Linked DNA regions of Macaca fascicularis. The protein of the gene in region 4 interacts with the protein of the main gene of each other region in a biochemical or structural test. Links are inferred from orthologs where the notes say so. Each region holds a gene or a part of one and is shown on either strand. Other genes may lie near its edges.

Evidence for each region.
Region 1: the proteins of ERBIN (region 4) and ATP2B4 interact in a test that uses a peptide from one of them, tested with the Homo sapiens proteins (2 studies listed by BioGRID and IntAct). The link is inferred for Macaca fascicularis from reciprocal best matches to the Homo sapiens genes ERBIN and ATP2B4.
Region 2: the proteins of ERBIN (region 4) and ARVCF interact in a test that uses a peptide from one of them, tested with the Homo sapiens proteins (3 studies listed by BioGRID and IntAct, with this or other methods). The link is inferred for Macaca fascicularis from reciprocal best matches to the Homo sapiens genes ERBIN and ARVCF.
Region 3: the proteins of ERBIN (region 4) and ABCA1 interact in a test that uses a peptide from one of them, tested with the Homo sapiens proteins (2 studies listed by BioGRID and IntAct). The link is inferred for Macaca fascicularis from reciprocal best matches to the Homo sapiens genes ERBIN and ABCA1.
Region 5: the proteins of ERBIN (region 4) and ABCC4 interact in a test that uses a peptide from one of them, tested with the Homo sapiens proteins (2 studies listed by BioGRID and IntAct). The link is inferred for Macaca fascicularis from reciprocal best matches to the Homo sapiens genes ERBIN and ABCC4.
Region 6: the proteins of ERBIN (region 4) and ERBB2 form a complex in vitro, tested with the Homo sapiens proteins (4 studies listed by BioGRID and IntAct, with this or other methods). The link is inferred for Macaca fascicularis from reciprocal best matches to the Homo sapiens genes ERBIN and ERBB2.
Region 7: the proteins of ERBIN (region 4) and PKP4 form a complex in vitro, tested with the Homo sapiens proteins (4 studies listed by BioGRID and IntAct, with this or other methods). The link is inferred for Macaca fascicularis from reciprocal best matches to the Homo sapiens genes ERBIN and PKP4.

The regions. Positions count from the first base shown.
Region 1 is NC_088375.1:61,563,205-61,567,150, forward strand, and holds part of ATP2B4 (plasma membrane calcium-transporting ATPase 4), read left to right. Parts: intron 1-2,572; coding exon 2,573-2,881; 3' UTR 2,882-3,946. UniProt on the Homo sapiens protein: Calcium/calmodulin-regulated and magnesium-dependent enzyme that catalyzes the hydrolysis of ATP coupled with the transport of calcium out of the cell. By regulating sperm cell calcium homeostasis, may play a role in sperm motility.
Region 2 is NC_088384.1:32,853,365-32,857,310, forward strand, and holds part of ARVCF (splicing regulator ARVCF), read left to right. Parts: intron 1-506; coding exon of another isoform or gene 507-627; coding exon 628-1,127; intron 1,128-1,778; coding exon 1,779-1,962; intron 1,963-2,777; coding exon 2,778-2,895; intron 2,896-3,264; coding exon 3,265-3,436; intron 3,437-3,946. UniProt on the Homo sapiens protein: Contributes to the regulation of alternative splicing of pre-mRNAs.
Region 3 is NC_088389.1:53,299,903-53,303,848, forward strand, and holds part of ABCA1 (phospholipid-transporting ATPase ABCA1), read left to right. Parts: intron 1-301; coding exon of another isoform or gene 302-374; exon of another isoform or gene 375-401; coding exon 402-480; intron 481-1,336; coding exon 1,337-1,539; intron 1,540-3,205; coding exon 3,206-3,254; intron 3,255-3,449; coding exon 3,450-3,563; intron 3,564-3,946. UniProt on the Homo sapiens protein: Catalyzes the translocation of specific phospholipids from the cytoplasmic to the extracellular/lumenal leaflet of membrane coupled to the hydrolysis of ATP.
Region 4 is NC_088380.1:71,776,183-71,780,128, forward strand, and holds part of ERBIN (erbin), read left to right. Parts: intron 1-763; coding exon 764-856; intron 857-1,327; coding exon 1,328-1,402; intron 1,403-2,850; coding exon 2,851-2,958; 3' UTR 2,959-3,946. UniProt on the Homo sapiens protein: Acts as an adapter for the receptor ERBB2, in epithelia. By binding the unphosphorylated 'Tyr-1248' of receptor ERBB2, it may contribute to stabilize this unphosphorylated state.
Region 5 is NC_088391.1:86,239,829-86,244,426, forward strand, and holds the start of ABCC4 (ATP-binding cassette sub-family C member 4), read right to left. Parts: upstream 2,947-4,598; 5' UTR 2,828-2,946; coding exon 2,754-2,827; intron 1-2,753. UniProt on the Homo sapiens protein: ATP-dependent transporter of the ATP-binding cassette (ABC) family that actively extrudes physiological compounds and xenobiotics from cells.
Region 6 is NC_088390.1:60,768,074-60,772,019, reverse strand, and holds part of ERBB2 (receptor tyrosine-protein kinase erbB-2), read right to left. Parts: intron 3,162-3,946; coding exon 3,010-3,161; exon of another isoform or gene 2,947-3,009; intron 1,832-2,946; coding exon 1,618-1,831; intron 861-1,617; coding exon 726-860; intron 369-725; coding exon 300-368; intron 90-299; coding exon 1-89. UniProt on the Homo sapiens protein: Protein tyrosine kinase that is part of several cell surface receptor complexes, but that apparently needs a coreceptor for ligand binding. Essential component of a neuregulin-receptor complex, although neuregulins do not interact with it alone.
Region 7 is NC_088386.1:53,924,120-53,928,842, reverse strand, and holds the start of PKP4 (plakophilin-4), read right to left. Parts: upstream 3,205-4,723; 5' UTR 2,996-3,204; intron 2,746-2,995; exon of another isoform or gene 1,904-2,745; intron 1-1,903. Other genes in the region: CCDC148 (coiled-coil domain-containing protein 148), read left to right, coding at 3,205-3,501. UniProt on the Homo sapiens protein: Plays a role as a regulator of Rho activity during cytokinesis. May play a role in junctional plaques.

The DNA.
Region 1 (3,946 bases), on a different chromosome or scaffold from region 4:
AGCTTCCTTACAGGTGGCTGGTTTCCCTTTAGATTCCAGAAGTCCTGCAGTCTAGCTGGATGACTGTTTCTTGCTCCCCAAAAGATGTTTCCCGTATTTTTTCCATCTACCCATCCCCAATTCACTTTTATCTCCCTCATTGTTTACCTGTAACAGTATTATTGGTCACCGCAACAGGTGAGAGGAAAAGCCAACAAACAGGGCTCCAGACCCTCACTCCAACCCCAATTGTTGCAAATTTATTTTCTATAGTGGACTTCACATGTAATTTTTTCATAAAGTATTCAATTGAATGGAAGCAGGAAGTTGAAACTCACTGATATTGAAGATAATGTACTGGTGGATAAAGGCACCTGCCCTCCTGTGATAGCTGGTAGAAATTTTGAGATCTTGAAAGCATATGGAAAATGTGAGCTATGTCATCACTCCTGACAGTGACGGCTTTGATGGGGTGGGATGGCTTTGGACCCATCTCTTGGCCAGTGTATCTGTGCCAGGGCCAAAGGAGAAGGCATTGGGTTTGGACTCACTTAATCCAAATTGCCTTGCTCTGAGATTTTATGTAGATCAATGAAAACTTGAGACTTCCTGAAGACCAGATGGAGCCCCCATTCCATCTGATCTCACCTAGATCTGGAGCAAAGGCAACATGACAGGTAAAATTCCCCCATCAGATGGTCAAATAGGAATCAGATAATAAAAATGTGGTCCTCACTTTCTGTTCAGCATGGTGAGTGTGTGCCTATGCTCCCTGATTCCTCTTAGCTGAGGTACTGAGCTGATGCTATTGAGTGGCAAGGAGTCCTTTGCCTTCTGAGCTTTGAGCACCCTCAGTCCTGGGTGGGCTGTAGTAGAGTGGGGCAAGATAAAGAAAGCCTTAGCCAGCAGAGACACATTCTCCTCCAGAGAAAATAGACCAGCAGTATTGATAGTGAGCCGCCTTTGAGTGGTATTTATGAAAGTTCTGTATGGTGGTAGGAAGCACTGAAACAGGTAATCCAAACAGTTAATTTGGCTGACTCTTTGTATCCTCTGCTGTCTCCAAATTCTTGCCTATTCTCCTGGGATATACTTTTTGCTTAAACAGCAGAGGAATGAAAGAGGTACCTTACTCTCACCTTCATCACTCCTACCCCCCCAACCTCAACAATTTCCCCCACATTACTCCCATTTCTTTTCTGAGTGAAGATTTTTGGGACAAGACTAGGATCAGCCACCTTCCAACAACTAAAACTGTCCTATAACCATTTACCTTTCCCCTGGCCCCTCTCTCTAACTTCTTGGAGCTCCAACCCTCTCCCTCTACCCCAATTCTACCAACCATGATTCTAAGCCATGCCTCAGAGAGACCTACAGTTCAGAAAAGCAGAGCTGCCAAAATTGCTGGTGCCTGTGGACAAGCAAAAGCTGTTCACAGGAATCAATTATTGTCAGTTTTTTCTTCATGACTCTGAACTGACCGAATCCCTTCCTTTTTGCACAGTAGGACAGAGACTATGACACTGGGCAATGCATCTCCTTTTGCCCAGTAAAACCGCACAAACTGCACATGGTTTCCTTTCCATCATCCTCTTCACCCACCCCATCAGAAAGGCCACTTGTTTGTAGCACTGCCTCCTGAGTTAGGTTTCTCTCACTGGTCCCTTTCATTCCCTTCTCCACATAAGACTACGCTCCTCTTCACAATTTGGAAACAGCTGGAGAAAGCAGCATGATTGGGCACCATTGCTGTGTATCAGAGACATGAACGTGCATTTGAATCATGAGAGCCAGGTCTTTTCTCAATAGGCAGGAGGAAAGCATCTTTTGACACCTGTATTTTATCCACTTCTTCTAGGGAAGGGGCTGAAGGAGTGAAGTTCTGTTATTTGCTGGGAGGGGACACAGTGGTGGTCGTGGGATGTAAAAATATGCATGTTTCCTGGCTGAAAGGGCAAATTATTACTGGAGAGTTTTAAGTTCCTGCATGCTGCTGACACAAATGAAGACTGGTTTGTCTGCCTGGCTGCACAGTATTCGTGGTCACTCGTCACCCAACGTGTATTATGTGCAGATTGGTGTATGCTGGCTCTTTGAGGTCCTTAAACAGATAACTAAACCTCAATGCATAATTTTTTCATTCCCCATTCACAAAATGTTTGGCCTCAGCACAGAAATCCACATGTCTGAATCATCTTTTTAAGTTTGGCTATCAATTTGCATCTAGTTCCCATGCCCTTGCCCTCCATCTAAAAGAACTAATGAAACTTCTTGTTTTCTGTTTCATTTTAAAAGTAGATTGTTTGGGAATGCTAACGTTGCTTTGGGTTTTCTACTTCTTTAAATGCAGCTTTCAAAATGTCCTAGTTGTTTGCCATCACTCACCCCAGCCCACCCCACTGCTTGAAAGTTGAGCCGTGTGATGTTTCTAGTGCCCCATGATCTCCTCTGATGTGTGTTTGGTTTTGGTTGCTGAGCAGTCATGTTCTATAGTTTGGGTTTTGTTTCTCTCCTAAAACCACCATCTCCTTGTTCTGCCAGCCAATTCTCACCTCCCTATTTTCTCATCCTCCTTTTCCTTCCCCTGGTATAGATCAAAGTGGTCAAAGCGTTCCATAGTTCCCTCCACGAAACCATTCAGAAACCCTACAACCAAAACTCCATCCACAACTTCATGACCCACCCTGAATTCGCCATAGATGAGGAGTTGCCGCGAACACCACTCCTGGATAAGGAAGAGGAGGAAAATCCTGACAAGGCTTCTAAGTTTGGGACTGGGGTGCTCCTGTTGGATGGTGAGGTCACTCCATACGCCAATACAAACAACAATGCAGTGGACTGCAACCAAGCGCAGCTCCCACAGTCGGACAGCTCTCTACAGAGCCTAGAGACATCGGTTTGAATTTTCTTTCTCTGACTCTCATCCCTATTTTCCCTATTTCCATTTTCGCCTGTCGCATCTATGAGGTGATGATGGGACTTTTCATCGTCATGTCAACTGCTGTGTAAACAGCAGTGTGTGTGAACCCCCACCTGACCACGAAGAGGCAAGAGCACAGACTTACAAGGATTTCAACTTAACTTTGACTTGGGGTTTGCAGCGGGGCCCAGTCAAACCCCAGGCAGGTCATGGTAGAATTTACTCCTTGATAGTCACTTGTCATTTTTAAAGAAATGATGACAATCCTCTTGGCATCACCCCACCCCACATTCTCCCCTGATGTTCATCTCCTGAATTCTGGATTTTGTCCTAAAAGTCTGTGCCATTTATAAGCTAAGTTGAGGGTTCAGAGGGAGACAAATATCCCCAAGTGAAATATGTTGAGGTAGAGATGGAATGTCTAAAATCCGCCAGTAGTATGATTGTTTTTCAATTCTCCCACTTTGAAAACTTACACCTAAAGGCCTATAGGCCTCTAACTCTTTCTGCCCTTCCAGTCAAACCTCTCCAAGGTTCTTTTTTGTCTTTGTCTTCCCTTCCTTTCCTTTTTTTTTTTTTTTTTTAATGATGATTAAGAAAATGGAAAGGATATGGGTGAATTGCATAAACTTTGATCCTTCTCCCTTTTGGCCCAAAAGAACCCTTGATTTAGTTCTAGAATCCAACCAGTTTCTTTGTTAAAAGGGTCCCTTTGAAGCAATTAAGTGCTGGTAAGAATATTTCTCAGTTGTTGCCAGGTTACCTTGTGCTTTTAAACTGCCATCTTGTCAGGTATATGTGGTTCTTAAGTGCCAGGGAGATCAGCCTTGCCCATGGAGGTTGCATATGTGTGGTATATATTCAACCCCGCCTCCTTACTGGGCTTGAATATTGAGGGCCAGCCACTGCCAAATCGAGGACAAGACAGACCATCAAAGCAGACTTTTGTGGGCTCCTCTTTGGGGTGACCACTGCTTTCAAAGCCATCTGCCAAGGCTCTCCAGGGCAGGACCTGACAGGTGGGGAACGAGTGTTCAGAAGCCTTGG
Region 2 (3,946 bases), on a different chromosome or scaffold from region 4:
CTGGAGTGGGGACATGACCACAGCCCGGGTCTGGATTCTGTTGTGTGACCCTGGCCAAGTCACCTGACCACTCCTAGCCTCAGGGCAGTGGGTTTGATGACAGCAAACCACAGGGCTACTGAGAGTTAAGGAGATCTTGTGCCCCAAGGGCCTGGTGGCCTGAACACCCCTCGGGTGGTCCTACTGGGATGGCTTCATGTGGAGAGAGCCATCTACCCCCTCTCCATCCTGACACAGCCAGAGATGGGCCTCATGGAAGATGGGGTGGTTTCGTGGAAGGGAGGTGGGTCTCTCCAGCAGCCCTAGCACATATCGCACAGAAACATGTTTTGCTTGGGATCGGGGAACACTGCCTGGTGACAGCAGTGAGTGAGCTTGCTGTCCTGGGAGGGTTGCCTGGGTCCTGATAGCCTCTGGCTGGGGTTTGGCATTTGGCTGTGAATTGGTTCTCACTGGGCTGGTGCATGACTCTCTGTGTCCCCACCATGCTTCGGGCGGAGATGCAGGTGCTCTCAGCCCAGCCCTGCTGGGTGAGTTTGCAGTCCTGAAGAAGGTGTCATGGGGCAGCTCAGAGGCGGGGCTGGCGGCTGCTGTGACGATGTCCACGCACCCCACTTGCCTGTGCAGGGCCTACGAGGACGCGGCAGTTGATGGCGGCGAGCTGACAGATGAACGGCCTGCGTTCCCAGCGGTGACGGCGCCCCTGGCCCAGCCTGAACGGGGCAGCCTGGGCAGCCTGGACCGGCTGGTGCAGCGCTCGCCCTCAGTGGATAGCGCCCGCAAGGAGCCGCGCTGGCGGGACCCTGAGCTGCCTGAGGTGCTGGCCATGCTGCGGCACCCCGTGGACCCCGTGAAGGCCAATGCGGCCGCCTACCTGCAACATCTGTGCTTTGAGAACGAGGGTGTCAAGCGGCGTGTACGGCAGCTGCGGGGGCTGCCACTGCTTGTGGCGCTGCTGGACCACCCGCGGGCTGAGGTGCGGCGCCGGGCCTGTGGGGCACTGCGCAACCTCTCCTATGGCCGTGACACTGACAACAAGGCCGCCATCCGGGACTGTGGTGGTGTGCCTGCCCTGGTGCGCCTGCTGCGGGCCGCCCGGGACAACGAGGTCCGCGAGCTTGTCACTGGTGAGTGGGACCTGGCCATGCCCACATCCCCTGGGAAGAGAAGAGTGCGAGGCTCAGCACGGGAGGAACGAGGCCACACGGCCTGCGACCGCCTGGGAGAGTGCCCGGTGGGCAGGAGTGCAGCCACTGAGACGCTTGCCCCAGGAGCCAGTCATCAGGCCCAGATGCTGTGACAGGCTCCCCAGTCTCTACCATAGGCAGGAGGCTGACAGTGGGCCCCTCAGGCATGTCCCCTCACCTCCTGCCCCCACAGAAACTCCCCTGGGACCTGCCTCCTTGGTTCCCACCCCAACAGTGCAGTGGTGGGGCTTGTGCCTTGTGGGACCTGAGGGACAGGTAGGGTCACCTGACCGTGTCTCTGTGAGGCCCTGTGGCCTCAGGAGTGTTAGTGCCACCTGCCGTGTGGCAGGGAATGGGTGGGACGGGACAGTACTGCCACACCCTTCTCTGCACCTCCTCCCCTTTGGGGTTCCTTCCTAGCTGGAAACCAGTACTAGTGTCCCTCAGAACCACTCACGGCTTTTGTTACTTCCTACTGTTCTGTGTGAGCTGGGACATGAGGAGAGTGGGACAGGTCCTGGGCGTGGCCACCTGGGGAGGTAGGCGGGCGGTGCATATGGTCAGCACGGGTTGGCCAATCGCACCCCACAGGCACACTGTGGAACCTGTCGTCATATGAGCCCCTGAAGATGGTCATCATTGACCATGGCCTGCAGACACTGACCCATGAGGTGATCGTGCCCCACTCAGGATGGGAGCGTGAGCCCAACGAGGACTCCAAGCCACGGGATGCTGAGTGGACAACTGTCTTCAAGAATACGTCGGGCTGCCTGAGGTGTGGACCAGGCCTGGTGCTAAAGCCTCAAGCACACCAGGCCCTGTCCTTGTGGTCCCAGATAGTGTGGAAGATGGCAGCAAGCTTAGGAGCACCAGAGCCTGGGAGCTTCAGAGCTGTGGCACAAGTCCTGTGGATGAGAAGTGGGGCCTGATGGGGCTGTACTCACCCCCAAGTGGTGCCCTAGTCTTCCCAGGGGCACCCTCTGGAGGGGTCTGTGTGGTACCATAGCCCTGCTTAGCTCTCACCTACCTTCCCATCACTTGACAGCCAGAGGGGAGCTGGGACCTCCCTGTTCATCTGCCTGGGAGCCTCATACCAGCCACCTGTGACCTCTGCCCTTCCCCTCCTACCCCTGGGAAGCCCTGCTGACTCCACAGAGTCCTGGGTCCCCACAGTCTTGCTTGTCCATCAGGGTGTTCCCCCGCAGCCCTGCAGGCTCTTGACCTTGGGGTAAGGTGGGGCCTAGAGCTGCCATTGGGGTGGCGAGGGACCCAGAATTGCCTATGCATAGGTTCAGGTCTCTCTGAGTCTACCTGTCCCTTTCTAGGTCAGCTGGGAGGCAGGAAAGCCCTGTCTTCCCCTGCCCAGCTTCCCCAGCCAAGACAGCTGTCTGCCAGGGCTCCCCTCCTGAGGCCGGGGGCAGTTCGCTTCTCCCACTTCGCTGAGCTCCAGGCTGTGGCGTCCTTTCCCAATAGTGCTAGGAGGGCAGCAGCAAGGCCTGTTTTGCAGATGAAGACAAGCCCATGAGGCCAGAGTGGGGCTGGGGAGTTTGTGATAGCCAGGGGTCACCTGACCTGCTCTTGGCCACACAGGAATGTGAGCTCTGATGGTGCTGAGGCCCGGCGGCGACTCCGGGAGTGTGAAGGGCTGGTGGACGCGCTCCTGCATGCCCTGCAGTCGGCAGTGGGCCGGAAGGACACGGACAACAAGGTGGGCAGGGACGGTCACAGCCTCATACCAAGGGCTGGAGAGACGATCATGCGGGTCCCGGGAGGCTGGAACTGTGGGAACAGCACAGGGGAATGGGTTTGTGGGTCTGGGGCGGCGTTCTGGGCATGGCCTGCCTCACAGTGACCACACTGAAGTAGGCACTGTCCTGCAGGCAGAAGATGCTCCATGAGGCAGGGGCTTCCTCCCATGGACCCTCCCTGGTGGTTACCGCCCTTTTGTCCCCCCGACTGAGGCCTCCCTGTCCCTTTGCTCCTGGTGCCTTCATGCACACCACCTGTGGCCAGTCTTTCCTGAGGGCTGGCCCTGTGCCTAGGGTGCCCTGCCCCAGCCACTCACCTCTCCCTGCAGTCGGTGGAGAACTGCGTGTGCATCATGCGGAACCTGTCCTACCACGTGCACAAGGAGGTGCCCGGGGCCGATAGGTACCAGGAGGCCGAGCCCGGGCCCCTGGGCAGTGCTGTAGTCTCCCAGCGCCGGAGGCGGGATGATGCCAGCTGCTTTGGTGGCAAGAAGGCCAAAGGTGGGTGGGGCGGACTGGGGTACCATCTCAACTCCTGCCCCAGCTGAAGGCTCTCTGTACACCCACAGCAGCCCATCATGGAGGCCAGAGGACATCTGCACAGCCCCCAACAGGCAGGCAGGGAAGCTGGGAGCCAAGGAGGCTGGGCTGCCCTGGGTCACATGGTTGACGGGGCCCAGGGTTGGGGGCCCAGGTCCAACCTTCCCCATCTACACTGTGGGACCTGCAGAGAGTACACAAGGGAAGCCTGGTGGTCCCACTGATGCCCAGACCCAGTCTCTATTCCGGGGAGAGTTCCACTCGCCCATGAGTTGAGAAAGAGCCATGGCTATTGCTGCCTGCTGACTGTTTACAGAATAGCTGTAGACTGCCTCCAACCTGTGGGGCAGTCACCCATCTGCCTGGGCAAGATGCCCTGCACACCTTCTCTACCGCACTAGCGGGGTGTAGGTTCTCGGGACCTCCCCAGCAGCTGTGGGCGACCTGTGCGCCACCTGCCCCTGCCCCACT
Region 3 (3,946 bases), on a different chromosome or scaffold from region 4:
TAAAGGCCTTGCCTGAGATGGTTGGCAAAGGCCTTGTTGCAGCATTCATTGGGAGGCCACAGTTCTTCTGGCAACTCTGCTTCCTGACCTTTCACCCTCAGGAAGCAAGGCTGTTCACACAGCACACACATGCCAGACGGGGTCCTCTGAAGCCACGGCTGCCAGTGCATGTGTCCCAGGGAAAGCTTTTTCCTTTAGTTCTCACACAACAGAGCTGCTTGGAAGCCCTCCCTGGCGAAGGTGCTGGTGGCTCTGCCTTGCTCAGTCCCTGATCCGTTCTCACCTCCTTCTTTGCCATCAGGAGGACAGTGTTTCTCAGAGCAGTTCTGATGCTGGCCTGGGCAGCGACCATGAGAGTGACACGCTGACCATCGGTAAGGACTCTGGGGTTTCTTATTCAGGTGGTGCCTGAGCTTCCCCCAGCTGGGCAGAGTGGAGGCAGAGGAGGAGAGGTGCAGAGGCTGGTGGCGCTGACTCAAGGTTTGCTGCTGGGCTGGGGCTGGGTGGCTGTGGGGGCGGGTGCAGCTTGGTGGTGGGTTGGCCTAATGCTTGCTGGGGTGCCTGGGGCTCAGTCTGGGAGCTAGCAGGGCAGTGTCCCAGAGAGCTGAGATGACTGGGATTTGGGGAATCCCTTAGGGGAGTGGACACTGAATACCGGGGATGAGGAGCTGAGGGCCAAGCCAGTGGGCTGGGATTTGAGTCTAGTATATAAGAAGAGTGAGAGCCCAGGAGATCAGGCACAGCCTTCCAGATTTTTCTTGGGTAGCGTGTGTAGGAGGCCAGTGTCACCAGTAGCATATGTGGAACAGAAGTCTTGACCCTTGCCATCTCTGCTGAGTCCTAATGGCTGGCTTTTCCCAGGAAGCCTTCTGCTTCCATGAACTGTTAGATTAACCCTCTATTTAGGTAAATGAGGGAGCCTACTTTTCAAGTATAGGAAAGGGTGAAGAATCTTCTAAGATTCCTTTACTCAAGTTTTCTGTTGAAGAATCCCAGAGCTTAGGCAATAGACACCAGACTTTGAGCCTCAGTTATCCATCCACCCATCCATCCACCTACCCACCCATCCTCGCATCCACCCATCCACCCATCCACCCATCCTACACTGAGTACCTACAATGTGCCTGGCTTTGGTGATACAAAGGTGAATAAGACATAGTCCTTTCCTTTGCCCCCAACCCTCAGACCAGAGATGAACATGTGGAATGATTAAAATACCTGGAACAGGTGTGGTGTATGAGCAGCAGGCTTCTGAGGAGAGGGTGGGGGATGGCCAGCCCTCACTCTGGAGCCCCTCTGCATTGATTGAGCCATCTTTGCATTCTGGTCCCTGCAGATGTCTCTGCTATCTCCAATCTCATCAGGAAGCATGTGTCTGAAGCCCGGCTGGTGGAAGACATAGGGCATGAGCTGACCTACGTGCTGCCATATGAAGCTGCTAAGGAGGGGGCCTTTGTGGAACTCTTTCATGAGATTGATGACCGGCTCTCAGACCTGGGCATTTCTAGTTATGGCATCTCAGAGACGACCCTGGAAGAAGTAAGTTAAGTGGCTGACTGTCGGAATATATAGCAAGGCCAAATGTCCTAAGGCCAGGCCAGTAGCCTGCACTGGGAGCAGGATTATCATGGAGTTAGTCATTGGGTTTTTAGGTCATTGACATCTGAGTAATGTTGACTCCAGTTAGCCATTTAAGATGGTGGTGGGAGACAGCAGGAAAGAAGTATTTTCCTCTGTACCACAGTACATGCCTGAGATTTATTTGTATGTTGAAAACAGTGGTACCTAACAGATTTACATCCCAACCTTAAACTCCTATCCACTTATTTATGTTTTAATGAGCCTCTTTACTCAAGTACAGTGTGAGGACCAGCAGCATCAGGATCACCTGGGAACTTGTTAGAAATTCAGCAACTTGGGCCCAGCTCAGACCTACTGAATCAGAATCAGGAGCAATTCCCTGGTGTGACTGTGTCACAGCCAGGTATCAACTGGATTCTCATACATAGGAAATGACCAACATTTATGAATGGATAGTCTACTTATGCGAGGTGCTGAGATTTGTTTTTTTTTTTTTTAAATCACTGTGACCTCATTTAATTCTCATAAAAAGATGAAAAAATGAACACTCAGGAATGTTGACATGAGATTCAGAATCAGGGATTTGGGGCTTCAAAGCCCATCCTCTCTTTATCCATGTAATGCCTCCCCTTAGAGATCCAACATCACAGACCTTGAGGGCTGAAGGGGATATAAAAGCTGTCTGGCTCAGTGGTCTCCAAGTTTGACAGTGCAGCAGAATCACCTGGGGATGTTACTAAAAGTAAACATTCTAAGGTTTGGCTTCAGGGCCTGTGCATCAGAATTTCTGGAGGTAAGGCCTTGAAGTCTGTACTTCCGTTGCATGCTTCGGACACAGTGGTCTATAGACTCAAGTTTGGAAATTATTGCGCTCATTCAGATTCTCTTCTGATGTTTGAATCTCTGCCATCGTATTTCTAGTGCTCTATTTCCTCCTGCTCATTCTGTATTGGATAACTTGTCATAGTGCTAGCCTACTCAAAGATTTAGAGCCACAGTCCTGAAAGAAGCCACTTGACTCATTCCCTGTAGGTTCAGAACAAATTTCTTCTGCTGCAGTGTCCTACTGTCATAGCTTTTTTTTTTTTTTTTTTTTTTTTGATGAGATGGGAGTTTTGCTCTTACGCCCAGGCTGGAGTACAGTGGTGCGATCTTGGCTCACTACAACCTCTACCTCCCGGGTTCAAGTGATTCTCCTGCCTCAGCCTCCCGAGTAGCTGGAATTACAAGAATGTGCTACCACGCCTGGCTAATTTTGTATTTTTAGTAGAGACGGGTTTTCTCCATGTTGGTCAGGCTGGTCTCGAACTCCCGACCTCAGGTGATCAGCCCGCCTCGGCCTCCCAATGTGCTGGGATTATAGGCATGAGCCATCGCGCCCAGCCATAGCTTTAATTTAAAAATGATTGTCTAGATTGATAGCTCTCACCACTGAGGAAATGTTCTCTGGCAAAAACGGCTTCTCTCCCAAGTGACTCTGACAAAGTGTTATTAAGAAATGTGGCTTCTACTTTCTCTGTCTTAAGGGGCTAACATGCCACTCAATAATGTAATAATCATGGCAGTGATGACTGCTTTCGTAATGTTGGTGCTTATAATGTTCTCACCTGCTCTCATTTTGCAGATATTCCTCAAGGTGGCTGAAGAGAGTGGGGTGGATGCTGAGACCTCAGGTAACTGCCTTGAGGGGGAATGGCACACTTAAGATAGTGCCTCCAGCTGGCTTTCTCAGAGCATGAGTATTGTTCCTTTCCCTTTGAATTGTTCTATTGCATTCTCATTTGGAGAGTGTAGGTTTGTTGCAGATGGGGGAAGTTTGTTTTGTTGTAAATAAAATAAAGTATGGGATTCTTTCCTTGTGCCTTCAGATGGTACCTTGCCAGCAAGACGAAACAGGCGGGCCTTCGGGGACAAGCAGAGCTGTCTTCGCCCGTTCACTGAAGATGATGCTGTTGATCCAAATGATTCTGACGTAGACCCAGGTATGTTAGGGCAAGATCAATCAGTGTCCCACTGTTTGAATGTGAAATTCTCTCTCATGCTCCCAGCTGTTTTCTTGGGATGGCCTTTAGCCAAGGTGATAGATCCCTACAGAGACCAAAGAGATGTGAGGAAATGATAAAAGCCCCTTGTTCTTTGCAGCGTTGTGCATGTGATCAAACCTGAAAGAGCCCATCCATATCACTTCCTTTAAAGACGTAAAGATGGTGCCTCAATCCTCTGAACCCATGTATTTATTATCTTTTCTGCAGGGTCCTAGTTTCTTGTATATATTAGGTGTTTAATTGTTGAACAAATATTCTTTCAAGTAGATGAATTATTTTGAAAGAGTCAGAAAGGGGAATTTGCTGTTAGAGTTAATTGT
Region 4 (3,946 bases):
ATCTTAACTCCTTAGATTTTGAAATTTGACTACAGACTTCAAACTACTTTTGAGTATTTAATCTTAAAAATTACTTAAAAAGTCAGCAAGCTACACATTTCTTATGTCTTGATAGTTATTAATAAAATGATCAATAATATTAGAAAGGTAGAGAACAAATGCTTTATTCATTTTGGTTGTGTCTCTGGTGAAAGGGAGTGTTTTATAACACAAGTTTTAATTCTTGCATCTTTTTCTATAGCTTGGTTATAAAAACTATCAATGGGTCATATTTTAAAATCCTACCTCTTTTGAAGCCTTTAAACAGATTCAGTAAATGAAGAGTTAGTATCACAAAACCACCAGTGGATCATTTAGATATCTTACGAAACAAGCCACTAAACAGAGATACTGTGTAATTTAGATGTCCCACAAGTGGAAACTGATAATAATATACATGTTTTGTGTTTATATACTATGGCATTAAAATCTATGATGTCTAAAAAGTAAAACAGGGTCAATTTTAATTGATTCCTATCCTTATAAGACAAGCAATAAAATTAGGAGCTATGCTTTATATAATCTCAGCTCTGCCTTTAACTCACTAACTCATTAACATAATATTCTATGTTGTATTTCACTTCATCTGACCAAATGTTTATTTTTGATGAATTCTTATGTTTATGTTTGCTTGGACTTAACCCATCAGTATTTAAATATAGATGTTGTGGCATTATAACTTTTTCTGAAATAGTAAGTTTCCTTTATTTTCATATTAACTCAGATTCGAGTGAGGGTTGAAAAGGATCCAGAACTTGGATTTAGCATATCAGGTGGTGTCGGGGGTAGAGGAAACCCATTCAGACCTGATGATGATGTAAGTTTTCTTTGTATATTCTTGAAACACCTATAAAGTTTTATTTGCTGATTCAATACTTATATGTAAGTGAAAATCTAGTAGATGTTTATGTAAATCTAGGTAGACATCACCTTGATTCCCCACTCTATTGCTTACCTTTTTGTTTTGTAATTTGATCAGTTCAAGTTAAAACAATTTAACCAAAAACTATGAATGTTTGTGATATTATCAAGTGATCTTTAATTTTCTTATTGCTTTTTCACACATCTATAAAAGCAATTTTATTACTCTCAAGAGAAATCACTGAAGTCAGAATTACTAGAGGTAAAAATAGCTAGTTTGTTACAGTATTACTCAGAGAAGTCAGGGAGAAAACTTGTACCGTGATTGAAATATTTGCATGGTGTGGAGGAGAAGTTGCTCCTTGGTACTCTGTTATTTATACATACTGTTTTTAGTTAAATAAACAATTTTTTTTTGTTATTAAAGGGTATATTTGTAACAAGGGTACAGCCTGAAGGACCAGCATCAAAATTACTGCAGCCAGGTGATAAAATTATTCAGGTAATTAAAATAAATCTTTGTTTTTCATTTTATAACACTCTAATGTTTTCATAGTTTAAAATGTTTTCACTTCAACTTTGAAAATCGTGGGAGGCTGAGGCAGGAGAATGGCATGAACCCGGGAGGCGGAGCTTGCAGTGACCTGAGATCACGCCACTCTACTCCAACCTGGGCGACAGAGCGAGACTCAGTCTCAAAAAAAAAAAGTTTGATACATCATAGGATTTTGTTTAAGCTCAGGAATGTTAATTTTTACTAATTTGAGGGGGATTAGAGTACTACTTCTTGGATGTGGGCTATTGGCCTTTCAGAAATGGAGAAGAAAATTTTTAAATCTGAGAAACTCATTTTTTCCTGTCCCTTCCTTTTCTTTGTTCTTTCAGCTACTCATTTTACGTAAACACTTGCAGTCTTAGAAGAAGACAAGCCTAGGACACAAGTCTAGCTCTCATTTTCTACCCCTACCATCACTGTTCTTAGTTGAGAACTAAAGAACTAAAAAATAACCCTCAAACCAAGAAAAAAAAAAAGAGAGAGACATTAATATCTAGTAGCTGAAAGTACAGATTCTGAAAACCAGACTTCCCGAGTTTAAATTCTGGTTCCAACACTTTTTAAAAATAAAATTAATTAAAAAAAAAAATTTAAATAATTTCAAGCTTAGAGAAAAGCCACAAAAATAGTACAATAAACACCAATATTACATCATTTGGTCACCAGTTGTTCATAATTTGCTACATTGTCTTTAGCGTTTATTCTCCTCTTTCTTCTGCTTTTCTCCCTCCGTCTATACACACACACACACACACACAGAGAGAGAGTCACACTCACTCATACACTCATACAGTTATACGCGTTTATTTTCCTGAACCATTTGGGAATCTGTAGTTTCAATTTGTGACCGAGCAAGTTACTTTACCTCTCCATGCCTGGGCTTTCTCTTCTCTAAAATAAGATGGTGAAAGAATCTTTTTTGAGCATTATGAGACTCAAAGGATCTAATTCATATTACACACTTAGAATTGTGTATTTGGTACACAGTAGAACCTCAGTAAATATTAACCTTAATTGTAAGAAATATGGTGGTCTTGATGTGATGGCTTCAAGACAATCGGAAGGCTAGCCCTTGCCCCTTGCTGTGCTACAGTTTGGTCACCTCAGACGCACATTAGCATTATACAGCACCATGTCTGACATTATTTCTTAGTGATTCCTAACATTGAACTGCTACATGAGAATTGTCTGAAAAGTTGGACAAAACACACATTTCTAGACCCCATCTTCAGAGACTTTATTCCTTGGTTTGGGTAGGGCCTGTGAATCTACATGTTATTCTAAGTTGCCAAAGTGATTCTTATTTTCTTACAGGTTTGTGAACTACTTGGCAGAAATGCAAATAAATTACTATAAAATGTTTTTCCTAAAAGCATTTTTCCTCTTTCTTCCAGGCTAATGGCTACAGTTTTATAAATATTGAACATGGACAAGCAGTGTCCTTGCTAAAAACTTTCCAGAATACAGTTGAACTCATCATTGTACGAGAAGTTTCCTCATAAGCACTGTGGACAAAAAAAGGGGGGAAGACAGCAAGATTTATTGGAAGATACTTGCAGGGGAAATTAATATTTTGACTATTTTTATATATAAAGAAGAACTCAAAAAATTATGTTCAAATTTGTACATTAATGAAGTAATGGAACTTGTGGTTAGAGGGAAAGAACCACTGTACAGAATATAAAGGAGACTGTTGAATTCATACCATATAAAACTTGTTAGGTTTTTAAACATAGCAATCAAGGCTACAAAAACAAACCTGTGTTGTTTTTGTATAGATTGTAGGTTTATTTTTGGATTTCATATACATGACTGAACTGTGTGCAAGGCAATAGTTAGCCTTGATTTTAGCCCAGAGACAGATGGCAGAGCTATCTCTCTCATAGCTTTTATGCCCTTATTTTTATTCAACTGGTATTAATGTTTTTCTCCTGAAACTACTTTTTTTTGATGTGGGTAAGAGATTTGAAGTGTTGGCTTTTGCTATGTGCATATTGAATTGAAGAGTGAGTAGGTGAAGGTGGTGCTGGTGGGTTCACTTTCCAAGGCCAGATTAAAACAGTTATTTTCTATAAAAATCTGGAAGCAAAGAATGGGGATGGGGGGTACTATGTGGTAGTATGTTTTTATTAAGAGAATAATGCAATAAAATAGGTAATGTCTTTTTTATAAAGCAAAAAAGACAATAATTGCATTTTATGAGCTCGGCAGGATCTGTTCTTGTCATAGCCATTGACTATACATTTCCTACTGGTGATTCAGTTTTTAATTTTTTAGTCACAGGAAATTTTTAACTCTACTGTGGTTGCATGTCCATGCATTCTCTGTGTTATGGAAATCCCGATTTTTTTTTTTTTTTTTGCAAATGGTGGTACTTGCAATCTGTTTTATAATTAGCGCTCCATTTAAATCTAATTTATAATTTTTATTTTAAGCAGCAAATGAAACAAAAATGGCCAGTTTTAAGATTGTGTTGCCTGTAACACAAAA
Region 5 (4,598 bases), on a different chromosome or scaffold from region 4:
TCTCTTACAATCTCCCAAGTGATGCTGATGCTGCCGCTCTGAGTACCATGCTTTGAGAACAGCTGCCCTAAAGCACAGTAAAAGTTGTTACACATGCATCATCTCCAACTGCAGGCACTTTAAGAACTTCCCTTGAGAAACTCCAGCCTGCCAGAACAGGGGGTGCCTTCTCCATGCATTTCCAACAAGCACCTGAACTGGAAGCAGCTCAGTACAGCAGCTCCAAAGAGGCTGGGGAGCCAGTCTGCCCAGCTTTGGAGCCTGCTCTGACACTTGATTGCAGTGTGAGTCCAGGCAACTTACTCAACTACTCTCAGCTTAAGTGTCCTCACAGTAAAATAGAGGTACTAGCTCCTTCCCCTCCATCAGGGAAACCGGAAATGAACACCTGCTCCAGTCCTCAATGGGAAGGCATCACTTCCTATTTCCCTACCACCTAAATTTTGAAAATGTAGGGGGAGAAAATGTAAGGAGGCAGGGCTCACATCTGTAATCCTGGCACTTTGGGTGGCCAAAGCGGGAGAAACACTTGAGCCCAGGAGTTCAAGACCAGCCTGAGCAACAAATTAGAGAGCCCCATCTCTACAAAAAAACTGTTTTTTAAATTATCCAGGCATGGTGACACACACCTGGAGCCCCAGCTACTCAGGAAGCTGAGGCAGGAGGATTGCTTTGGCCCAGGAGTTGGAGGCTGCAGCAAGCTACGAATGTGTCACTGCACTCCAGCCTGGGTCACAGCTTGCACAAAGCAAGATCCTGTCTCAAAAAAAAAAAAAAAAAAAAAAAGTTCCTTGCCCTGCCTGAAGTTGAGGAGACCATTTGTCTACTTCAAGTTATTATTTACAGAAACCACACCCATATTGCTTCCTCCTCCATGCGCCTCTCGCCTCAAGAGAAAGGCCGCCAACCCAGAGGGTCCTACACTCACTGAGTGTATCACAATCGAAACAAGAGTAAGCGACCCATCCTCTTGGAATCCCCTAGGTCAAGCTTGTCCAATCTGAGGCCCGTGGGCTGCATGTGGCCCAACACAAATTCGTAAGCTTTCTTAAAACATCATGAGATTTGTTTGCGATTTTTTTTTTTTTTTTTAGCTCATCAGCTGTCATTAGTGTTAGGATATCATTAGTGTTAGTGTATTTTATGTATGGCCCAAGACAATTCTTCCAGTGTGGCCCAGGGAACCCAAAAGATTGGAGACCCCCACCCTAGGCTGTCCCATAATAAAAGGCAATATCAACATGTGGGAAAGATGAGGCAGCAGAAGTCAAGAAACAGAAGATCTAATAATCAACCAAGTGAGATTGAAGCCCTTCAAAGGTTCAGGCTTATGTAGTTAGCAGATGGAATTCCCGCCCCTCAAGACAGAGTCTCACTCTGTCACCCAGGCTGGAGTGCAGTGGTGCAATCTCAGCTCACTGCAACCTCCACTTCCTGAGCTCAAGCAATTCTCCTACCTCAGCCTCCCTAGTAGCTGGGATTACAGGCGTGCTCCACCACACCCAGCTAATTTTTGTATTTTTAGTAGAGACAGGGTCTCACCATGTTGGCCAGGCTGGTCTCGAACTCCTGACCTCGTGATCCACCCGCCTCTGCCCCTCAAAGTGCTGGGATACAGGCGTGAGCCACTGCGCCAGGCCAAGATGGAAGTTTCAGGTACAACTATCACCTGAGTCTTTCTCCACCTGTTTCCTTGCAGAAAATGGGTAGGGCTGTGGGCCCTCCCAGCTCAGGAGCCCTGGGGTGGTTTTAAGATGCTAGAACTCCTGGTAGGAACCACCTGCATCAAGTCCATGGATCACCTCTCTGAAGGTTAGCGATTCCAGGGACCCCACCCCGGCGCAGTCCTCCTAGGTGGAAGTGAAAATACTGGAAACAGGGAAAGAAGTTGGTCAAAGACAGACTCCAGTCGTGGCGGTGTATGTACCAGTTAAAAGCAAAACTTGGAAAATCTTGTTCAATAACAGAGTCCTCATTCATAAATAAAAAAATAATAGTGTTTTTTACCCACATGAAACTTGCCATAACTAGGTACCACGACCCACATGGACACACAGTGAGATTCACACACAGACAGGAGAGCCCTGGTCACTGAGACAAACGATACAGAGACATCGGGACACAGAGAGACACAACGGGACGTGGAGGTGGATCCAGCTGTCTCGTAAGGAATATCGGAAGGGGTGGGGGACACTATTGGGAGATGGCATAGGTCCAGGACACTAATTAGGCTTTGGCTGAGATTAGATAAAGGAAGCTGTTCGTAAGCTGCTTACTTAAAAGGAAAGGAAAAGGTGCGTTTGAGTTCAGGAGACTGTGAGTCTCGGAGCAGGAGGTGGCAGCCAGCGAAGAGTGGGCGTGTAATGGGTGCAGTCGCTTCTCCCGCTGGACAAGAGACTCCCCCTTTCGGCAGCCTGGGTTCCCCGCCTCCCCACCTCCCGCTCCTCCTCCCCGGAGCCCTAAGGGCCCGCAGGGCCTCCAGCAGCAAAGCCGCTGGCCCCGCGCCACCAGCGCCGGGTCCACGCGTCCCCGCGTCCCCCTGCCCCGCGCACAGGGGCGCAGGCGGGGACCATGCGGCCGGCGTGGGGCGGCGCCACCGCAGCAGAAAGCCCGGCGTGGACCGCATGGCACAGGAAAGCGCTCCCCTCGCCCCCAGCCGCAGAAGGCTGGGGCAGCATCGAGCGCGGCCCCGGGAGAGCGCGTCAGCGGGGCCAACGGCTGCAGGGTGACCTGTTTCGGGCGGGGACACTCACCAGAAGAACACACGCGAGCAGAGGTTCGCGCCCTGCAGCGGGTTGGGCTTCACCTCCTGGTACACTGGCAGCATCTTGCCGGGCGTGGGGGGCGCGGGCCGGGGTCGCGCTGATCAGGCGGCGGTGGCCGCGGGCTCCCCTCCTGGACCGTGAGCAGAGATGCTGGAGCTCCCGCCGCCTCGCCGGTCTGCTCGGCAGGAGCCTGTGAAGCAGCCGTTTCCGGGAGCCGGGCGCCGGCGGCACGCCCAGTCCCCGCCTCTCAGGCCCGCCGCTACCAGGGCCGCCTCGGGGGCGCCCGTTACGCGCCGCCGCCTGGAGCCCGGGAGCCGCGCACCGCGTGCGAGCTCGGCCGGGACCGACGGGTGACGCGGCGGGAGGAGACGCGGCGAGAGGAGGCGAAGCTGGCGACGCCAAAGGGAGCCCAGAGCCACGCCCAGGGGTGAGGCGAGGGCCGCCCGCGCGGCTGGATGGAGAGGGTAGCCGAGCGCACGGCGCGGAGCCCGGGTCCTGAGGTGCCCACGTGCTCGCACCCGAGTGAAACTTCCCGAAATTCACTATCCGAGTCTAGGCGCCGACCCAGAAGGTGGAGCAGGGAGGCGTCGGCTGTGCCCGCCCCTGCGACGCAGAAACGCCCCCTCGGGCACGGATTTGGGGAGACTGGGAGACAGCTGCCTCGTGCTCCACCAGACCGCCCCCTGGGCGCCTTGCCCTTCTCAGGACCAAACGCGGGTGCCATGGGAGGCTCTCCAACCTGTGAGCCAAACATTTGACCTCGGACGACAGCAAAGTTTAGCACAGATTATCCTTGTAGAGCTGCAAGACCTCAAGAAAGCCGGGTAACTCGAGAGTAGGACCCAGATGAATTTGGGAGATGGATGAATGCTGTCGTCGATGGGGCGGGCTTTCGACGGGGCGGGCTTTCGGCATCTCACACGTTGCGTGGTACTGTGGACCTCTGAGCTTTTTGCTGCCCTCTTAGATTGGGAAAGGAATGTAAGAGGAAAGAGAGACTGCCTTATGATTTCTGTCATCAAGCCCTAAAGCCTAACAGATAACAGTGGCAAACGACACATGTGTTCCAGAAGACCAATTATGTTTATGTGCATTTCTGAGTGCGTAGTCTCACTTGTGTGTGTGTGTGTGTGGCAGTCTCACACACAGTGACTCGATTATGGCTCATTGCACCCTGGACCTCCCAGGGCTCAAACAATCCTCCCAACTCAGCCTAAGTAGCTAGGACTACAGGCACCCGCCGCCACGCCTGGCTAATATTTTGTAATTTTTGTAGAGATGCAAAAATCAAAATCAAAGGCTCTAAGTTCAAATATTGATAATTTTTGAAGCCAAATGATGTGTCATGGGAGTTTATTTTCTTCATATTTCATGCATGTTTGAGAATTTGGTTTTCTTTGTAACAAGATCATTTTATTGTTCCTTGATAATTTCTCACTTTGTTGCCCAGGCTGGTCTCAAACTCCTAGGCTCAAGTGATCCTCCTTCCGTGGCCTCCCAAAGTGCTAGGATTACAGACATGTACCACCACACCCGACCAATTATCTCACTTTTAATTCTATCAGTGCCACATTCAAGGTTATTCTTATTTTATAGATGAGGAAGGTGAAGCTGAAAGGCAGAACTTGTCCAGGGTCTTAGAGCCAAGAAAGGATTAAACATGATTTACATTAAGCCTGTGCCTAAGCATGGCCAATCTCCCTGGTGGATGACCAGTGTGCACGAGACGTGGCCAGAATATGCTGGTTGAACGACTGTAGGAATGAATGAACAAAATCTTGTTCCAAGCTTTTGGACTCCCACTTCTAAGTCTTCAGTTACTTCTGTGGCTAC
Region 6 (3,946 bases), on a different chromosome or scaffold from region 4:
GCAGCCGGCAGCACACTGCTCATGGCAGCAGTCAGTGGGCAGTGGCCCCTTGCAGCGGGCACAGCCACCGGCACAGACAGTGCGCGTCACTGTTGGGCAAAGGGCAGGATGAAGGCTGAGTGGCACCCTGAGCACCAGACCCTCATCAGCATCACCTTCTAGGGAGACTACCTGCCCCAGGGAAGACATCCCAAGCCTGTTATCCCACCCCTCCCATGTCACCCGTATGACACCTGCATTCCACCCAGCCCCGGTCCTGGCCCTCCCCTTCCCTGACTCCAGGCCTCCCTGAGACTCACGGCTCTGACAATCCTCAGAACTCTCTCCCCAGCAGCGGGAGCCCTTACACACTGGAGAACAGGGGTGGCCTGAGGACAGAACCAGGGAGAGGCAGTGAGAGAGATGTCTAACAGTGAGAGGACGGGTTAATAACGGAGAGAGACACAAACAGCAGCAGAGGCCACGAGGCCAACTGCACAGTGAAGGAGGGACCCAGACAGGCTGAGAGGCCCCCAAACCACAGGCACAGCCTAGAAGCAGAGGAAGACAGGACAGAGAACCCCAGAGATGAAGAGGCCCAGAGAGATGGCAGGAGGGACAGAGAGGGAGGAAATGGGTGTAGGCGGCTGGGGCAGTGGCGGGCAGGCACTGGGTTGTAAGTCGGGAGTCTGGGGCTGGGGTCAGGCTGTCTGAGAGAAGAGGCAGCAGGGAGGGGCATGGCTTACAGGCCCGAGAGCGGTTGGTGTCGATCAGTGTGAGAGCCAGCTGGTTGTTCTTATGGAAGATGTCCTTCCACAAAATCGTGTCCTGGTAGCAGAGCTGGGGGTTCCGCTGGATCAAGACCCCTCCTTTCAAGATCTCTGTGGGGTGAGCAATGATCAGGGGACCCTTTCCCCTTCTGTCACCTTCTGCTTCCCTTGGGGCCCTCCTGCCTTCTAAAAGAGGAGCAGGCCTTTTATACAACCCCAGATTCCCCAGGGAGGAGAGAAAGATATCGTCACCGTCTTTGAGCCCACCACCACCACCCCCGCAACATGAACAAAGCGAGAGCCAGGGAGGAGTGAGTTGTCCATGCTACGTCCAGATGCTCACGTGGACCGCAGCTTTCTCCTTCCCTCTCACCTCTACTCCGGACATGTTGCTTGGTGGTTAAGAGACCGTGGAGTCTGAAACCCAGCCCCATCACTCACATCTCTGCAAGCCTCAGTTTTCTCATACGTAAAATGAGAATAACACTGATTCTTTCCTGACAGGACTGCAGTGTGACTGAAATGGGCCATGCGGGCAAAGCACCTGGCACCCAGACTCTGGGGCAGAGTCAGCTCCAGGGCCAGCAAACAGTTACATAGGCTGTTCACTGTACACTTCACTCAGCCAAGTGGGGGCAAAAACCCAGCCTGCATTCTCATGATTGAATTCTGTGCGCTGACGTAAGCTGCAGCTTCCTAGGAAGAAGGGGAATTTTTTCCAGTCTTCTCAGGGTGTCTTCCCAGGCTCTGCCTGCGTCTGCCCAGAAGGGACACCATTTCTAATGCACACAAAGCCTCCCCATGGTTAGCAGTGGCCCTGGTCAGCTCTGAATAACCAAGAGAAGGTTTCAATGACGGCGAAGGCCACCTGTGAGGCTTCGAAGCTGCAGCTCCCGCAGGCCTCCTGGGGAGGCCCCTGTGACAGGGGTGGTATTGTTCAGCGGGTCTCCATTGTCTAGCACGGCCAGGGCATAGTTGTCCTCAAAGAGCTGGGTGCCTCGCACAATCCGCAGCCTCTGCAGTGGGACCTGCCTCACTTGGTTGTGAGCGATGAGCACGTAGCCCTGCACCTCCTGGATATCCTGGAAGGGGGAAGCAGGGTGGGGCTGAAACAGGGACACTGCCACCCCCAGGGCCTCCCTGAGGTTCCCCAGTACTTGGAGATCTTGGGCAAGGCCCCCAGCCACTGAGCAGTCCTGTTCCCTCTTATATAAAACGATAAAATGGAGATAAAGATCACGCCCCACCTTGCCTCACCAGATTCTTACACGATCAAGAAAGATAATGGTGGGGGGGCACTTCGTAAACTCTGAACAGGTACCCCGCCCTCTCTGCATCTCAGTTTCTTCATCAGTGAAAGCAAAGGCCTGGATGGGATGGCGTCTGCAATTTTTTTTTTTTTTTTGAGACGGAGTTTCGCTCTTGTTGCCCAGGCTGGAGTACAATGGCATGATCTCGGCTCACTGCAACCTCCGCCTCCCAGGTTCAAGCGATTCTCCTGCCTCAGCCTTCCCAAGTAGCTGGAATTATAGGCATGTGCTACCACTCCCAGCTAATTTTATATTTTTATTAGAGACGGGGTTGCTCCATGTTGGTCAGGCTGGTCTCGAACTCCCGACCTCAGGTGATCTGTCCACCTCAGCCTCCCAAAGTGCTGGGATTACAGGCGTGAGCCACCATGCTCAGCCGGCGTCTGCAATTTGACAAACCAAGCACATGGCCCCACTCCAGGGTCCATGGACACAACCCAGCAGGTTGGTTTCCACTCTCTCCTGCTCATAATCTTTTCATAGACATTTCTCTTTTGAGCTTCACAATTGCTCCCAATATACAGATAGGGAAACTGAGACCCCGTGAAGCTAAGGGGGTGTAGGCCACATTCATAGGGCTCATCAGTGGCAGAACTGGGCCTGTAATCCACCTTTCTCACCAGCCCTTTCTGCTGCTGTAGATGGGAGAAGGATAGTGGCTGGGGCAGGTGGACGGGGGACATGATCATGCTGGCAAGAGAGCACAAGATTTAGCGGAAACACAGACGCATCCCATCCAGAGATGACCTCGGCCAGCCACATTAGAGAGAGAGTCAACTGATTCTGCAGTAAAATGAATGGGGGTTAGACGTTAGAAAGGACTTCCTGGTTGAGAAACCACAACAAAAGAGGAAACAAAGGGCAGGGCACCTTCTTCTGCCACCCACCTGTAAACAGAGGGCTCAGCCCAGCTGGAGGCAGGGCCTGGCTGGGTTGCCCACGGGCCTCACCTGCAGGAAGGAGAGGCTGGCATTGGTGGGCAGGTAGGTGAGTTCCAGGTTACCCTGCACCACCTGGCAGCCCTGGTAGAGGTGGCGGAGCATGTCCAGGTGGGTCTCGGGACTGGCAGGGAGCCGCAGCTTCATGTCTGTGCCGGTGCACACTGGCAGGAGGGAGCAGATGGGTCAGAGGACACGGGCGGGGGACCTTCTTGGACCTGGCCTCCCCACCCAAACTCACTCCCAGAGTCATTTCATCTCAGACAGGGAGAAGGCTGACTGAAGGACCCCTCCGCCGACATCCCTTGCACACTGCAGGTTTAACAGCAGGAGAAAGCTTGTGTGCTTGGGAAGTAGAGGGATTTCAGGGGAAAGGCGCCTTCTGACTAGGCCCACCCTGTGCATCCAGAGGCTGCCCCAGCGTGCCAGCCCTGTGGAGCTCACCCGCCAGTACAGGGTGTTGGCTGGCAAAGAAAGGCTTCCTTTGTCCCAAAGGCACAACTCAGGGCCAAGGGGTAAAAATCCCCCAAGAGAGGCGATGACGAATCCTGAATCTTCTGGATGCCCCCTGCCCCTCTCCCAAGCAAACAAACTCGGTGCATTCTCCCTATGCCATTCCAGCACACCCATGTGCCAACCTCTTGGCAAGGGATCCACACCCCCGTAATGCCACCCAGAGAGTGGGGAAGGAGGGTCAGCTGGAGTTGTAGCTGGGGCATCGGGCAACCGGGGCCCTGGTCATTGCAGAGACCTCTGGGAGTCTCCCATGAAGAGAAAAGGAGCATCAGACTCCAGTTGTGGGCATCTGGACCCAGGCTGCAAATCCCAGGCCAGGGTGAAGCATGCGCCAAAGGTTCCTGTGCTAGCACCCTCATCCTGGCCACCTCCTCAGGGCAAGACTCCAGAAAGAGCTGGCAGAATCTGTGCCACGAAACTGCTGCCACAAAGG
Region 7 (4,723 bases), on a different chromosome or scaffold from region 4:
CAATAAAGTATGTAATTTTACTTTCTGGTTGAATACTAGCTGCCCCTAGTTTCTTCTTCCCTTGTTTTCCATCAATACTCTCTGCTCCCTTACCTCCCTCCAAAAACAATATAGGTAAAAATTAAAATAACTGGATACTTCACTTCTCCAACTTAGACTCTTCAGTATAATATATAAGACGCCAGATGCAGCACCCTCTCCTTACATAATAGTAGGGGGTGGGGAGGGAATGTACTTTGGTCAAAATATGATTTCGGTTATTTTCAATTGTGTAGGATCACTAGTTGAAAAACTTCCTCTCTTCAAATATCTGTAACAAATAGAAAGCATTTCTAATCGAAAGGTTACCTTTAACTGAAGCAGGCAAAACTATTTGCACAGCCAATTGTGTGTGTGTGTGTGTGTGTGTGTGTGTGTGTGATCCATACATCTGAAGAGGGTTTTCAATTTCTAATGCGGCAGGGAAACTAAATTTGCTTTTACTTCCTCATCTTGACATCAAGTCAAATAAGCACGGGTTAAGCATGGGTTAAACTCTGCTGTAATATGATATTGTTACATAATAAAAGTTTCCTGTTAGCATTTACAAACACCTCCCAATATCCTCCATAGTGTTACTGGACACAAATTAAACCTCTAAATTAGAAGATTCACTGATTATGCACACAGCTGAAAAACAACGTAGCAACCAAAAGATAAATCTTTCTGAGTGCAAAATATTTTTTTTCTATTTTTTTTCCTTTCTGTTGAGTCCTTAACTAAAGGTTCCTATTTGATAGTTTTCGATGTCCTTGATCTACACAAAGTAGGTGTTGGAAGAAAGCGGATTGGTCAGACAACTGACTTATTATGAATCTGACTTTACTGAATCTGACATAAAATAACCAGGTGCATAGAGGTTTGTCATAAATGCAACCTTCCAAGCAAATTGTGTCAAATAAAAACACACATACGATGCTTTTCAACATCCGGAAACACTTATTTCAGACATTAGTTGTTCTCGTTTTCATGTTGCTATTTTCCATAACTGTTTTACAGGCACCAAAACGAAGATACTCTCACAGCAATATACTGCATTCAAGAAGACAAGCATTCTTCTAGTTTCTCTTTTAAAATAAAAAGAATCTAAGCTCAATTCTCGCGAACCATTTTCTGTCAAAATTTTGCTCTCCCGTATTAAGGAAAACAAAATTTGACCAAAAATGCATACTGACCATCATTGATTTTACACGTAAATAATTACCGTTCTTTAAAAGTTGTAGGGCAGCATTTTTTTTTCAGTCAAACTCAGTAACAAAGAACTGAGACCTCCACTAATAAATAACATCTTGAAATATACATGATTGTGGTGTCCCCGTGTCAGTTCAATGGTAACTGACACGCCCCGAATTTAACTGTACCAGACAGTTCTATCTGTCCCATCGCTGACCAAACAGTGCTTCTCTGTTTCTATTCATTATGTATTATACGAGGTCTAAACACCGACCAGTATGACGAGGGAAAAAATTACACTTCTTAGGATACCAAAGTGATGCATTCAAGATCTCTCTTGCAGTACATGCCCGTCCATAAGCACTAACACGCATTTTTTTGATAGAGCTAAAATATGTTGGCCCCAAGCTCATTACTCTAAGAACCTTCAGGTCCCCTGTTCCTGCTGGTTTTCAGAAAACCCTGGTAAAAACCAGGTACTATCCAAACCTTGCACACCAAACTTGCAAACAGCCTTGTGCAATGATCAATAACCTTGGCTACAGAGTCATTGGCCCCAAATTCACGGTTCTGAAGACCAATGAAGCAAAAACCCAGACGAAATGCTAGCTGGAGCCCCAAAGAATTACCGCGCTTCCCCTCTGCCGCATGGAGGGAAGCAATGGGAGAAGAGGAGAGGAATGAGGCTCACCAGCTCCGAAGATGCTCCGGTGACCTCTGGCTGCGCGGCGAGAGCTGGGGAGGGAAGGCGCTAGTGCAGCCGCGGCGGGCTGTGTGGACTCTGCCCCTGGTGCATTCCTCGCATTCCTGCACAATCAGTCGCCAGCCCAGGAGCCGGCAGCGCGCGTCCCCCGCTGTACACACACACCTGACTACCGCTGCGCCCCGAGCGGCCACGGCCGCCGCGGCGCCTCCACTGCCCGCGCTCGCGGTGTGTCGCACTCAGCCAACACGCAGCCAAATCCCGGCCCCGCCGCTCGCTCTTCGGGTGGCGGTCCAGGGGAGAGGGCCGGCAGCCTCAGCAGCCGGTGGGGGGGATACCAGATCCGCCAGGGAGGTGCCGCAGCTCCGCTTCAACTCCTGGCAGGGAGAGGAGGAAGCGGCGGCGCAGGAGGGCAGCGGCGAGGCTCCGGGCTGGGAAGCCGGGAGGGGTGGAGCGTGAGGATCCGCGGCCAGTAGAGAGGGGCGCACTGGGCAGAGGGGGTGGGCAGGACCGGCAAGGAGTGCAGGACTTCGGGGACAAACGCAAGACCGCGCGGGCAGCAGGGGCGTGGGAAGACGGGGAGGGGGCCAAGGTGCAGGATCTGGGGCTGCAACGACAGCCAGCCAGCCCCGAGGGCTGAGGAGGGCGGGCGTCCTGTGGTGTCGGGGGCGCAGGGGCCGCGGGGCGGCAGGCAGCGGGGAAGCCGCCGCGAGGGCGTCCAGCAAGGCTCAGCGCGGCGCTCAAGTTCGGGGCTGGGGGCTCCTGATCCACACAGCCCAGCGTAGGCAGAGGTCGTGCGCGGCGCGTACGGGAGACCAGGGAGAGGAATCGCCGGGAAAAGCAAATGGAGGGTGAAACTTGTGCGCCTGCCGGGGGGAGGGGAGCAGCAGGCGAGTGCGGGCAGGAACACGAGGCGGGGCAGGAAAGCCGCGGCGGCCGCCAGGCGCTGGGGACGGGGCAGCGGGAGGGAGGCCCCCAGCCCCCGGTGCGCAGGTCCCGGCCCCGGCGCGTGTTCGGGGCGAGGGCCGAGGGTCTCGTGGGCAGGAGTCTCCGCGCCCTCCCGCGAGCCCACACACTTACTTTCCAGCTTAGGCTGCGGCCGTCGTCGCTCCAGGGATCAGGGACATCGGCGCCGAGGGGTCGCCGCTGCGGCACCCGCAAAAATTAAAAAAGTGCCGCGGCCGCGCGGCTGCCCGCCCCTCCCTCCCCCACCCGCCCCCTCCCCCGGAGCGGCTCTCCCACCACCCCCGGCGGCGGCGGTGGCCAACTTGCCCCTCTACCCCTTGCCCATGGTGCCGCCTCCGCGGCCGGCGTCGACGCGGACTCAGCCCCGGAGCCCCCTCTACTGCCCAGAGGCCGCCGCCGCCGCCCGCCCGGCCGCCAGCCCTCCCGCCCGGCCAGCCCCGGGCTCCCGGGAACGTCAGCACGCCGCCGTCCCCGGGCCAGCTCCCGCCACCCCATTGGCGGGAAGGAGAGGGCTGGCCCTCCCCATTGGCCCGGCCCTCATATTGAACGGGCCAATGGGAGCTGCGGTTTCAGGTCGCCATAGAGACCGATGCTGTTCAGCGCAAGAGGGCCTGGAGAAGGTGGGTGTGAGGCTGAAGGTGTCTCAGGTCTCGGGCGCGGGAGGGGGTGGCGGAGAGGACAGGGAGATTCCCCAGCGCTGGCTCTGAAATCTGGGGCAGGTTTTCCTTTGCCTTACTGCCAACCCCAACTGTGCCTGGTAGGGTTTGTCCCTGGTATCAAAGGTAGGAACAGCTGAGCCCTTAGACGTACCCCTGACGGTGAGAGCCCAGGAATGGGCGTTTCACTTTTCCTGCGTGTGGGGAGTCCCTGAGGCTATGCCCTTTGACCTTTGACATGTGTGCAGCTTCTGCTTCTCCAGGTGAGTCTGCACCCCATCCCTTCCATCGCTGCTTCCTCCTGACGTCACTGAGCCACCTAAATCCTACTTACGCTGTTCTCCCCAGCCACTCCCCCTTCCCTGAGGTGGATCTTGCCTCAACGTTTTGGGTCTTCAAACTTATAACACTTCTCAAAGAAGACTCAAAGAGGATTTCCTTTGAGGTTATTTTGGTAGGGAAACAAGGTGGCGGATTGTATGATAGATGCCAAAGCGTCAACACATGAGCTAGCCTGTTCCCTGATTCTCAAAGCAAACCTCTAATCTCCCTGTGGGCAGATATTTATTAAACACATCTGTGTGTACATCCTGCACGATGAGCTTGACAGGTGCATGTTCTTTCGCTTGAGAGGTTACTGGCTTGATAAAGATAGAGGAAATAGAAACGGTCCTTCACGCCTTCTGATGATTTCACAGAAGAGTAAGGGAAATGGATTACAGTTGATGGATTTTGTTTTCTATTTTCCAGTATCTCTTTAAATTTGATATGGAAATAACCTGAGGCATGAAATCAGTACACACAAAAATCTTCAGCTTTAATAATGTCTTCTACTTTCATTTAAAATCATTTTGTGCTAGTTTGTCAATACTAATTGTTTTGCCAATATATTTTGTATTTAGATATCACCTTCTTAAAGTGAGATTTCATGAACATATAAGGCTTTAAAACATGATATTGCTCTAGCTTATAGCCACTGATATTCTTACATTCTTTCTTTTGGTGATTTTACTTTTTTAAGACTAATCTTTTTAGTAAGGAGACTATGTTTACGTTACTGCCCCTCAAATTGGAGGGACCATATTGTGTGAAAAAGCTGATAGGATTTTGGAAATTACAAATATTTTGTTGAGAGAAACAGATTAATGTGTGTGCAAGCTGCATATGTCTCAGTATTCTGAATTTT